Linked DNA regions of Sus scrofa. The protein of the gene in region 1 purifies or fractionates together with the protein of each later gene. This does not show direct contact. Links are inferred from orthologs where the notes say so. Each region holds a gene or a part of one and is shown in the gene's direction. Other genes may lie near its edges.

What was found.
Region 2: the proteins of GRWD1 (region 1) and WDR5 purify together in Homo sapiens (affinity purification with western blotting; 3 studies listed by BioGRID and IntAct, with this or other methods). This does not show direct contact. The link is inferred for Sus scrofa from reciprocal best matches to the Homo sapiens genes GRWD1 and WDR5.
Region 3: the proteins of GRWD1 (region 1) and CUL4A purify together in Homo sapiens (affinity purification with western blotting; 4 studies listed by BioGRID, with this or other methods). This does not show direct contact. The link is inferred for Sus scrofa from reciprocal best matches to the Homo sapiens genes GRWD1 and CUL4A.

What each region holds. Positions count from the first base shown.
Region 1 is NC_010448.4:53,848,244-53,852,541, forward strand, and holds the start of GRWD1 (glutamate-rich WD repeat-containing protein 1), read left to right. Parts: upstream 1-1,429; 5' UTR 1,430-1,616; coding exon 1,617-1,803; intron 1,804-2,088; coding exon 2,089-2,206; intron 2,207-2,392; coding exon 2,393-2,552; intron 2,553-4,298. UniProt on the Homo sapiens protein: Histone binding-protein that regulates chromatin dynamics and minichromosome maintenance (MCM) loading at replication origins, possibly by promoting chromatin openness.
Region 2 is NC_010443.5:273,573,538-273,577,067, forward strand, and holds the end of WDR5 (WD repeat-containing protein 5), read left to right. Parts: exon of another isoform or gene 1-19; coding exon 20-95; exon of another isoform or gene 96-766; coding exon 767-800; intron 801-969; coding exon 970-1,044; exon of another isoform or gene 1,045-1,437; coding exon 1,438-1,525; intron 1,526-2,629; coding exon 2,630-2,730; 3' UTR 2,731-3,018; downstream 3,019-3,530.
Region 3 is NC_010453.5:78,584,470-78,588,110, forward strand, and holds part of CUL4A (cullin-4A), read left to right. Parts: coding exon 1-80; intron 81-2,267; coding exon 2,268-2,420; intron 2,421-3,276; coding exon 3,277-3,372; 3' UTR 3,373-3,641. UniProt on the Homo sapiens protein: Core component of multiple cullin-RING-based E3 ubiquitin-protein ligase complexes which mediate the ubiquitination of target proteins. As a scaffold protein may contribute to catalysis through positioning of the substrate and the ubiquitin-conjugating enzyme.

The sequences.
Region 1 (4,298 bases):
CCCCAGACCTTGGCCCCGCCACACAGAAACCCCTGACCCCAGACTGTGACTTCCGACCCCTAAAAATGGTCATCCGACCCCAGACTGTGACCCCTGACCCCAAACTGTGACTCCACCCCCAGACTGTGCCCCGACCAGACTGTGCCCCTCGACGTCTAACCGTGACACCCTCCCCACCCCACCCTTTTCCAACCAACCTCGGTAGCTTTTCCCTCTTTTGCCCTAGGACACACCCCCAACGGAAGCCCCGCCTCCCCTGCCCCAGCGTTGATCCCAACCTCCATCAGGCCAAAACCTCCCACCCTTTCGCACCTCACTACCAGGCCCAGGTGCCACCAACCATATACTCTCCAAGTCCAACCTTTATTTGTGCCCCTTCAGTAATCACCCAGCAGCCCCCCAAAAGCCTCCTCTTCCCAGATCTCCAGCCGGGTCTGGAAATGGGTTGTGGAAGGGAGGGATCTGGGAGTTCACACTCACTACCAACCTCCCTGGCCACTCTCCTGTCCCACATTGCAGTGTTTGGAATAAACCATGTTTTTATGCCTCCTCAAGCCAAGTGTGAGATCCATGCCTGTCTCAGTCCCCTCAAACTTCTCCGGAGGAAACAGAAACTGAGAAAAGTCCCTCAGAGGAAGAGGGTGCAGAAAGAGAATTTGAGCAAGAACAGAGACCCCAGAGGGAGGCGGGAGGTGAAGACCCAGAAAGAAGCCATGAGAAGAGACGAGCTAAGAAGGGGTGGAGGCGTTAAGAGAAGGGGGACAGAGAACTCAAGAAAGATCTGGGATTCAAAACATCCTAGAGGGTACCATTCCTATGGCAACAGGCAATGAGGTTTGCTAGGTTCTTAATATCCTGTTCAGGCAAGTGAGGAGAGTGCCTATTATATCCCAGCCAATCCACAAATCTTCAATGTTGTGAAGCTCACCAATGAGAACCTAGTTCTAACATTTCATTATGCCAATTAGCCAAACCTCTGGTGCTAATGGGCAATAAAAAGAGCCGAAACACTTGTAATAGCTGCCTCCAGAGGGTGGGCTTTCTGATTAAGTGCTTGCTGACCACAGCTGCAACGTGAACGCCTGATGAGGCAACTCATCCTCACTCTACTTAAGCATTTGGAAATGAATTAAAGCCTTCATAACAAGAAGCGGGGGAAGAATAAGGAGGGGAGAAGAAACCGGCTTTATTGGTCCTAAGGGAGCAGAAACCTAGTCTCCTAGCTAGGATTATTTGCATACACGAATAATTAATTAAGTGGAAAGAATGCCTTGGGAGTCAAAAGTGGAAGATGGTGTCTGGGCTTGGACCTCCTCTAGCTGATGAGGAAAAAACAGGCCTCCCGTAGAACTACAACTCCCAGGAGGCCTTGCCGCGGCTCTGCGGAGGAACTCCGCAAAGTCACCGGGAGGGGGTAATTCTCCAGATCCGCAGGCCTCGCTAGCTGGACCAGGACACGATTATGTCAGTTCTCCTTCACCCGGTCCCATCGCCCTCTCTAATCAGCGAACCCGGGGGTTTCCAAGGTAACCACGCAGCAGGGCGGATCTCATAAGAAGGCAACGCAACCCGGAAGTGACGCTCTTACCTCGCGCCGGCTGCGAACGGGTTGGAAGATGGCAGCGCGCAAGGGGCGGCGGCGCACGTGTGAAACTGGGGAGCCCATGGAGGCTGAGTCCCACGATGCAGGGTCCGAGGGCCCTCCCCAGGTCTACCTACCGGGCCGGGGACCGCCACTGCGTGAGGGAGAGGAGCTGGTCATGGACGAGGAGGCCTACGTGCTGTACCACCGAGCACAGACTGGTAGGGCTGGGGCATTCGGACTTCCCGGGGCCAGAGCAAGGAGGGACTGGAAATCTGGGTCCTGAGGGGAGCTGGTCCTGAGCCTTTAATTTAAGAGGCGCTCTGAAAGGGGAAACTGGGGTTCCCGAGGGGAGCCGGTCCTGAGCCTTTAACTTAAGAGGCGCTCTGAAAGAGGAAACTGGGGTCTAAGAGAATTGACACCACACTCAAGAGATACCTCTGGCTATTAGGGCCTGAGATACTTATGTCCCATCCTAATTTTCCAACCGCTCCTTCCATCCCCAGGCGCCCCCTGCCTCAGCTTCGACATAGTCCGGGATCACCTGGGAGACAACCGGACTGAGCTTCCTCTTACACTTTACCTGTGTGCTGGAACCCAGGCAGAGAGCGCCCAAAGCAACAGGTGAGAACTGGGCCTTTACTTCGACCAGGAGTCTGAGCCTTCAGCCCCCCGCCCCCGCGGCTCCCCCCCCCGCGGCCCCCCCCGCGGCCCCCGCACCTAGAAATAGGGGGGTTTCCAGCCTCCCCACTCCCTTCTTCCCAAGGATCCTGGTATCCAGGGCCTCATTTCATCCCACACTTCCGCCAGATTGATGATGCTTCGAATGCACAATTTGCATGGGACAAAGCCCCCGCCATCAGAGGGCAGTGATGAAGAGGAGGAGGAGGATGAAGAGGATGAAGAAGAGCGAAAGCCTCAGCTAGAGTTGGCTATGGTGCCGCACTATGGTGGCATCAACAGAGTTCGGGTAAATACAGCCCCCGAAGCCTGCCCTCCATTCTCTGGAGCACAGAGCGTCCCCGCCCCCCATCCACGCCCTTCAGCTTTTAGAAAACACTTGACACAATTTCGTATATGAGTTTATCACATCTTAACTGTCATGGTAGTTGTCATCGTGCTAGATGCTGTGGGGATATCTTTAGTGTTCTTTCCTTTTCTGTAAAATGGTGAGAGTTAGAAAACTTACCTGGTGTGACTGATATGAGGGTAAAATGGGATCACTTTGTGTTACTTCAAGCATTGAAACTCCCAAGTTCCTGCTGTGACTCATCGGTAACCCAACTAGCATCCCTGAGGCTGTGGGTTCGACCCCCGGCCTCACTCAGTGGGTTAAGGATCCGGGTTGCCATGAGTTGTGATGTAGGTCGCAGACACGGCTTGGATCCCCAGTTGCAGTGGGTGTGGTGTAGGCCGGCAGCTGCAGCTCTGATTCCACCCATAGCCTGGGAACTTCCATATGCAGCAAGCCTGGTCCTAAAAAAAAAGCAAAAAACAAACAAAAGAACTGAAATAGAGTTACTTTAGGTATCTAAAAACAGTGCTATCATATGAGATGTTTGTTTTCTGTTATTGCTTAGGGACTGTTCTGGCCTATGCGGTTACTTTTGTGCTTCAGAATTAACAGCCCCTTCTGACGGGGTTGACATGAGCAGTAAAGTGTTGCATGCGCAGTGCTTGGCCCATAGTCCTTGCTAAACATTTCCATTAAAGTATTACTGAGCTTCAGGTGCTGTTCTAGAGCCTGGGGTTTTAACAGGGAGCAAAAGGTCGCTGGCTCCTTGACACATGCCAGTGGGAAGAGAACAAGAAGAAACTAAGTGTATTCACGTGTGTCCCCAGGTGCTGAGTGTTGTGGAGGAAAATAAGGGAGTTAGGATCTTCCGCTGTGGGGCTGCTATTTTAAATAGTCAAGGGAGCTTCCTGGTTAGGACCTGGTGCTTTCACTGCTGCAGCCCAGGTTCAATTCCTAGTCTGGGAACTGAGGTCCCACATCAAGCTGCTGCTCAAACCCTGCCCCCCACCCCAAACTAAAAGTTTGGTCAAGGAAGCAGTCACCGATAAGGTGTCATTTGACTGATAAGAGACCATGTGAACAGAGACCCACAGGGAATAAAGGAGTGAGGCAAGGATGTCTGTGGGAAGGGTTGCCAGCCAGGGAATAATAAGTGCAAAGGCCTGGGGGTGACCATGGCATGTTTGAGAAATTTTGAGGAAAGCTGGGGAGGGCAGTGCTAAATGGATGAGGGGGGCGAGTGATGAGGTTTGGCAGGTGGGTGTGGCAGAGACATTGTTTTGGGCCTCATAGGCCATTGTAAGGACTTGGTTTTCACTTGGAGGGAAATTGGGAGCCATCAGAGGTTTAGAGCAGAGGATGGATGGGGTCTGACTTGTGTTTGAAAGGGATCCCTCTGACTGTTGTATTTAGGATAGACTGTAGGGGGGGCAAGGGCAGGAGGCCAGGGTCCGGTGAGGCGGCCAGCACTGTGAAGAATGCAGGGGAGGGTGACTTCCATAGTGGCATGGGTGGCGGCCGAAGGGCTTGGAAATGGTGCGTGCGGAGTGCAGCCGGCATGGGTGCTGGGCCTGAGGAAGGAGAACAAGTCCTACAGTTTGAGGCCCGAGGTGGGGACCTCTGGAGAGAAGTAGGTTGCAGGGGGCGATTCGGAGCCCGGCTGTGGTCTGTGACATCTGAATGGTCAGTTCAACATGAGCT
Region 2 (3,530 bases), on another chromosome or scaffold:
GTCTCTGTGCTCCATGCAGATGACGACAACCCGCCCGTGTCCTTCGTGAAGTTCTCTCCGAACGGCAAGTACATCCTGGCCGCGACCTTGGACAAGTAAGCCCTCTGTCCCCGTGCGGGCGGGTTACCAGGGCCATCGCCCCAGGGCCAGGATCCCAGAAAGACACCCGCTCCAGTGCCCGCACGGAGCCTGCTGGGTGCAGGCTGCTGATGTAGGCACCCTGCTGGGATGGTGGGCATGGCGGCCTCCCGGTGCTGCCCGCTCTGCCCGGGCGCCCTGCTCCTAACACGCTTCGGGTGGGTGTCCCGGCCGTCCACTGCCCTCCTGGAGGCGGCTGGCGCTCGGCCTCCCCGGGCACTGTGGGAGCCCTCGGGTGGGCTCACAGGGTCGGCCCCCACAGGAGGAGGAAGGACTGTCCGCCGAGGTCTGTTCTGGACGTGTCCGCAATGGGGCTTCCTGAGCCCTTTTCTCGCAGGGACGTGGACCCCTTCCCGGCTCGGGGAACGCTTAGTAGCTTCCTTTAACCAAGCCTCTTGGGGAGTTAACGTGTGGCTCGACAGGTTAAGGACTTGGCACTGCAGTAGCTCAGGTTCGATCCCTGGCCCAGGAATTTGCACACGCCTCGGCCGAGGCCAAGTGAAAAACAGTGTCTTGGGGTTCCCGCGCTCTGCTCCCAGGTGTCCTTGCTCTGTGGACCCTGGGCTGGGCGCGGGCACCGGAGAGGGTGGGTCCTCGGGGGCTCGGCTGACACGCCCTCTCCCCGCAGCACGCTGAAGCTCTGGGACTACAGCAAAGGGAAGGTGAGCGCCGGGACGGGCTGGCGGAGGGTCGTGCTGGGGCTGGGGCCGGGGCCACGGCTGGGCCGGGGTGGGTTGTGCTCAGAGCGGCTCCGTTGGCTGAAAGGTACCTGGATGGGTTACCCCGGGGTGCAGGGGGGCGCCACTGAGCGGACGGGCCCTGCTGTTTCAGTGTCTGAAGACGTACACCGGCCACAAGAATGAGAAGTACTGCATATTCGCGAATTTCTCTGTCACTGGCGGGAAGGTGAGTCATGTCCCTGCTGGGGGTTCTCCCCGGCCCCTCTGGGGCGCTTTTTAACCCAGTGCAGCCCCGCTGGTGGCATCCTCAGCGGGCCTTCCCATTGCGTCCTCTTCAGGGCCACAGGCTCCTTTGCGATGCCGAGGGTGTCAGCACCTTCTGGGAGTCAGGGACCCTGGCAGGCTCTGGCGTCTGGTCCCCGGGGCTCCCCGCCTCTCAGGCTCAGGCTGCGGGGGAGATGGTGACGGCAGCCCTGATTGGAGCAAACAGTTTATGTCCTAGAAGTGGCGGGTGCTGGTGCGGCATCGGGACAGGAGATGGGCGGAGACCCACACGGGGAGGGGTGCTGGTACTGCTGGTCCCCAGGCACGCGCCTGACACCCTCCCGCCCCGTGACAGTGGATCGTGTCGGGCTCGGAGGACAACTTGGTTTACATCTGGAACCTGCAGACGAAAGAGATTGTGCAGAAGCTGCAGGGCCACACGGGTGAGCTCTCCCCCACGGAGGGACCAGGTCCTGTGAGCATCCTCCTGCCTCTGCTCCTCGGCCCCCTGGGAGCCGGGGGCTCTGTTTGGAGCTGTGGGTCTGAGCGCCCGCAGGCCGAGCCCGAGTGTGGCTTTAACCTCTCCTCCGGCCCTTGACGTCCTTGTGGGCCCTGTGGTCTGTCCCCGTGGAGATGGTACAGGGACCCGGGCTGCCTGCCGTCTGCTCTGCCGGCTGGCTCCTTTCCAGGCTCTGACCTCCTGCCCGCTCCTGTCCCCTGTGTGGAGTACCTGGGCAGCCCCTAAGCCCCCCCCCCCGCCCTCCCCACTCCTGCTCAGTGCAGAGTGGTGTCCAGCCGTGGAGAGTCTGATGAGAGTGTGCGACTCTGCCTAAGGAAGCCACGCCACTGCCTGAGGTCCTGGCCTGAGCTTGGAGGTCCGTGCTGGCCTTCAGCTTCCGCACCTGGCCTGTTGCTTCTGCCCTGCTGTGGGCAGGATGCTCAGGCTTATTTGAAACCACTCAGGCAAGAGGGAAGATTCTGGGGTTCAGTTGTCTTTTTAGGGCCGCACCTGCGGCATATGGCGTTCCCAGGGTAGGGGCTGAATCAGAGCTGCAGCTGCTGGCCTCCTCCACAGCCACAGCAATGCCAGGGATCAAACCTGCGCCCTCATGGATACCAGTCAAATTTCTTTCCGCTGAGCCATGATGGGAGCTCCCAAGGGGCTGAGTTAATTTCAGAGCTGCAAAGTGTTAACCTGACGGACCCCAGGCGCCAGCCCCGGGGGTGAACTTGCAGCGCAGCCCTGCGGGCGTCCTCTGCTCCGCGGCGGGGAGCGCGTGGGTGCGCCGGTTTGGGTCCCGGTGCAGAGGGCGCGATGTCGATGCCGTGAGACGGACCCCGGCTGTGCCTCTGGCTTGTGAGGGGCCCCAGTCTCTGGGCTCGGCGCTGGGCAGCCTCCGGGCCCAGGCCGGTGCTGAGCACCTCGCGGCCCACTGTCCAGGCCTGGTGACCTGAGCTCTGGGCTCGGACGCCCTGGGGCGGGGCAGGGCTGCGGGGCGGGGCCACGGGGCGGGGCCGCGGAGGGACCGTGGTGCCTCTGCTTTCAGACGTGGTCATCTCGACGGCCTGCCACCCCACAGAGAACATCATCGCCTCGGCCGCGCTGGAGAACGACAAGACCATCAAGCTCTGGAAGAGCGACTGCTAGGCCCGCGGGCGCGGGGCTGTCGGGACGCCCAGCCGGGCTGGCGAGAGCTCGGTGCTCGAGGGGCTCCCTGGTCCAGGCCTGGGGACTGGAGGCGCCTGGGCCTGCGCCGCCTCCGAGGACGGCTTGGCCGAGGGCCGTGTCCTCCGCAGAGGTTCTCGGAGCTGCCGGTGGCGATTCTTGCCAATGCCTGTCTTGTTGGCTGGGGAAGAGTTAGAGTCTGTATTGTGTTCGGAGGCCACAGAAATTTCTAATTTTTTATTACAAAAGGTGAAGTTCAATTTATCACGAGTTGTGTTTTTTTCCAGTAACTGTTCTGTGCATTTTATCACCCAGTGCAAGTGCTGGACCAGTCGCCACCACGGTGTGTGGGCGCCAGCCTCGCCCACCCGGCCTCAGAGGGGCCCCCTCGTGGGTCCAGTGACCTCTCTGGGGACCCCCACCCGGTGTTGGTCCTGCCCGCGCTCGAAAGCAGCGTGTCTGCAGCGTGTCTGCCCACGTGCCTTTGGCATCGGGGCCGTTGTCCCCGTGCTGCCAGCGTGGGGGTCACCCTGGGCGCTTCTGTTTGTCCCTCTGGTGGTCACACGCAGGCAGCGCCCCAGCGGTGATAAAGGTGGCAGCCTGGGCGAGTGGCCGCCGGGTTCTCACACAGAGCTTTGCTCGCTCTTTTGTGGAAAGCCTCGCGGTCGGCAGGAGGTTGAGAGGACGCCTCTCAAAAGACAGGTCCGAGGGATGCGCCACTCCTTGTCCACGCGGGCTCGAGGGCCCCTGCAGGCTGGTGGCCTGTGGATGTGGGGGCGCAG
Region 3 (3,641 bases), on another chromosome or scaffold:
GAGACAAGTTCTTTTTCAACGGGGACTTCAAGCACAAGTTGTTCCGGATAAAGATCAATCAGATTCAGATGAAGGAGACCGTACGTACCCTGCTCCTCTTACCCAGGCGGCGCGTGGGCCCCGAGACCGGTAGCCTGCAGTCACTTCTCCCTGGGTCGGACGGCGCCGCGGTGCCTGGGAGAGGAACGTCGGTTCCCGACAGGCTCACAGTGGGAGTGGGAATCCGAAGGAGGGGCACGTCACCGAACGGTGCGATCCGTCAGAGCCTCGTCGCCGGGGTTCTGTGAGCAGCCAGCCCTTGGCCTCGGCCGGGCTCCTGGGGTGGACGTGGGAGGGTCCTGCCACTCGGCCCACGGGTGTCGAGTCTGTGACCCGCATGGATGGAGCGTCTGAGCTTCGATCAGACACTCCAGGGTTCGGCTCGGAGCAGGTTCTGGACGGCTGCCGGGGCCCTTCCCGAGGCGGAGCCCGGCGCACCCTGGAGCCCCTCAGAGCAGGTGTCAGCTGCCCCTGGGACCTGCAGCACAGGAGGTATGGCCTTTGGAGCAGGGGGTCGGTCCCAGCAGGGCGGCGACTCTGATGGTCCGAGGTGGGGGCCGGTCCACTCAGGTTACGCAGGAGGAAACACAGGAGGCCAGTAAGTGCAGCAAATGCACCTGGATGCCTGCGCTAGGCAGTCATTTCCCGTGTCAGGTTAAGAGAAGGTTCTCTTTCTGGTCCATCAATTTGGGAAACGTAAAGTTTGATAATATCCCAAGTGGGCAGCGACATGAGGAAGCAGCTTTATGTGTTTATTTTTTAAGAGCTGTTGGACGCGTACAGCGCTGCTAGTGGGTCATTTGACACGTCTGTGAAGGTTTAATGCCTGTGGCGTTTGTTCCGTCTTTCCTTTTTTTTTTTAATCTTTTTGTCTTTTTCCAGGGCCGCACCTGCGGCATATGGAGGTTCCCAGGTTCCCAGGCTAGGGGTCTAATTGGAGCTATAGCTGCTGGCCTACGCCACAGTCTCAGCAACGCAGGATCCAAGCCACATCTGCGACCTACACCACAGCTCACGGCAACGCCGGATGCTTAACCACTGAGCAAGGCCAGGGATTGAACCCACAATCTCATGGTTCCTAGTCGGATTCGTTAACCACTGAGCCACGCCAGGAACCCCTGTTTCATCTTTCCTACGATAGCTACCAGAGTGATCAAAGGGCGTGAGCTTCTGGACTTAGCGTTCCGAGGTGGGCTGGTCTGTCCTGCCACCTGTTCACACTCAGCCTTTTTCTCTGATGTGTGTGCGAAACCCCTCTTCCTGTGCACTCTCTGCACCGTTCCCTGCACCCTGTGTCGCTCCTTGTCAGGCGATGCCCTGGGCCTCCTTCCGTGGCAGGGCTTGGTTTTAAGGGTGTGGCAGAATCCACCGGGCAGATCGGATCAGAGCATCCTCGGGGCTCACCCGCAGAGTTCGACGGGACCCTTGCTGAAAGGCAGCTGCGTGTTTCCGTTTCCGGGAAGACGACTGTTTTGCGCAGACACTCCTGTGCCCCTGGTCGGCTTGTCTCCTGAGTGGAAGCGCAACTGAGTGGAAGCCTCACGGGGTCCCGCCCCCGCCCACCTCGGCCCACCCCACTGTCACAGGCCCAGAGTACTTCTGGCCACTTTCGTGTGGCTTTCCTTGGGTCCTGGGGGCATCTGTGCGCCGTTGAGCTGCTCGTACAGATGAGGAGATCTCTCTAGTCCTCGACTGCTCCCCTTTAGAGCTGGTGTGACGCTGGCCGGGGCTGTGAGCAGTCGGGCTGCTGACGGGAGGCGGCTCAGCACGTGCTTCTGGGACCCGCTCTTCAGCCTGTCCCAGGCCTTTCTTTTGAAACCTTCCCCACTGAGCTTCAAGGCGAGTGCGGACTTCTGTTCCGCCTCCCTTCGGACCGTCTGTCCGGATGAGCAGTCGTGGCGCGACCCCGGGATCCTGTCCGGGAGCTTCACGAGGGCTCGGGGTGTCCTGACACTGAGCCAGGCCGACGCGCCTGGGGTCCGTCCCATGGCTGCTGGGCTTTGTCCTTTCTCTGTGGCACCACGGGACCTCAGCCAGGATCGTATACAGTTTATAACTTTTTAGGCGCAAAAGCTTGTCAAGGTTTGGCTCCGAAGTTAAGCAGTTTTACTAGAACAAACCAAGTGCACAGCGGGGCGGGATTGGTGCGCAGTTGGGCCTCTCTCCTACCCGGAGGCGCAGCCGCCCCAGCACAGGTGAGCACGCCTGCGCACCCTTGTCCCGAGCAGGTGGAGGAGCAGGTGAGCACCACGGAGCGCGTGTTCCAGGACCGGCAGTACCAGATCGACGCCGCCATCGTCAGGATCATGAAGATGCGCAAGACGCTGGGCCACAACCTGCTGGTCTCCGAGCTGTACAACCAGCTGAAGTTCCCGGTCAAGGTAAGGCCGGCGCGTGGCCAGCTCGCGCGTCTGCCAGACACCTGCAGAGCACCCGCCACTCGCCCCAGGAAGCTTCTGTGTGCGTCTGCTGCGGCCAGCGGGGCCTCACCCAGACGCCCCTGGCTGTGACGTGCTGCTGGTGCCCCAGAGCCTGCTGGCCAGGGCAGGTCCCCGCCGGGGTCACTGTCCTGCCCGGCGGGGGGGTGCCAGGCAAGCTGGGGGCCAAGCATCCCCCTGGGAACTGGCCCATCAGCCGGCCACCGAGCCCACCACCCGCGCTTCTGGGCGGGAAGTTCTACGACCCGGAGTTGTCCCATCCACGTGGCTCGGGGAGGACGCTGGGCGGTGCTCTGTGCTCCTGGGCGGAGGGCTGGGGAGGGGAAGCCGCGAGGACCGGCTTGGGGCTGCAGCCCTGCTCAGCGTGGACGAGGGGGGCGCTGAGGGGAGCCTGCGCCCTGAGAGGCAGCAGCCAGGCCCCCCACACCCGTGCTGGGCGCGTGGACTCCCTTGCCTGTCTGGAGAAGGAGCACACGGGTCTGGTGTCTCTGTGCCCAGAGCGTGTGCAGCAAAGACAGGTGACAAATACAGCAACTGGGGAGAACTGTCCACAGAGGTGGACACGCCCAAGGGCCTGAGTCCCCTCCAGACACGAGTGAGGGCCAGGCTCTGCGGGTGACCTCAGGGCGTTCACCTCTGAGCCGCGTCACCCGCCCGCGGAAGGAAGCCCTTTGCCCACCACAGGACATTGGCGCGCTCGCATCCCGGGAGATGCGTGTTTGGGGGTGCCGCCGTCCCACGCCCACGCTCGCCCCCTTGGCGTGGCCGCTCTCATCAGGGGTGTGTTTTTCTTTTCCAGCCCGGAGATTTGAAGAAGAGGATCGAGTCCCTCATCGACAGAGACTACATGGAGCGGGACAAGGACAGTCCGAACCAGTACCACTACGTGGCCTGAGGCCCGGCGGCGCCGCCGTGCGACGCGAGAATGTATCTTCAGGGCAGAGACACTCGGTGCTGTTGCCAGGGCTTTCTGGGCCTGGACAGCACGGCTGCTTTGGGACTGGAAGGAGGGGGGATTCCGGGACCGCCCTTCGCAGGCTCAAGGGCTTGCATAGGGCGCGTGCATCTTGCCTGCAGTTCTTCCTCCTGCTCTTTTAGGCGTTTTAAGTGCGGAGTGACCCTGACGGCTTCTCTGTGAGGTGGTGTTCTTGCGGCAGCGCCGAG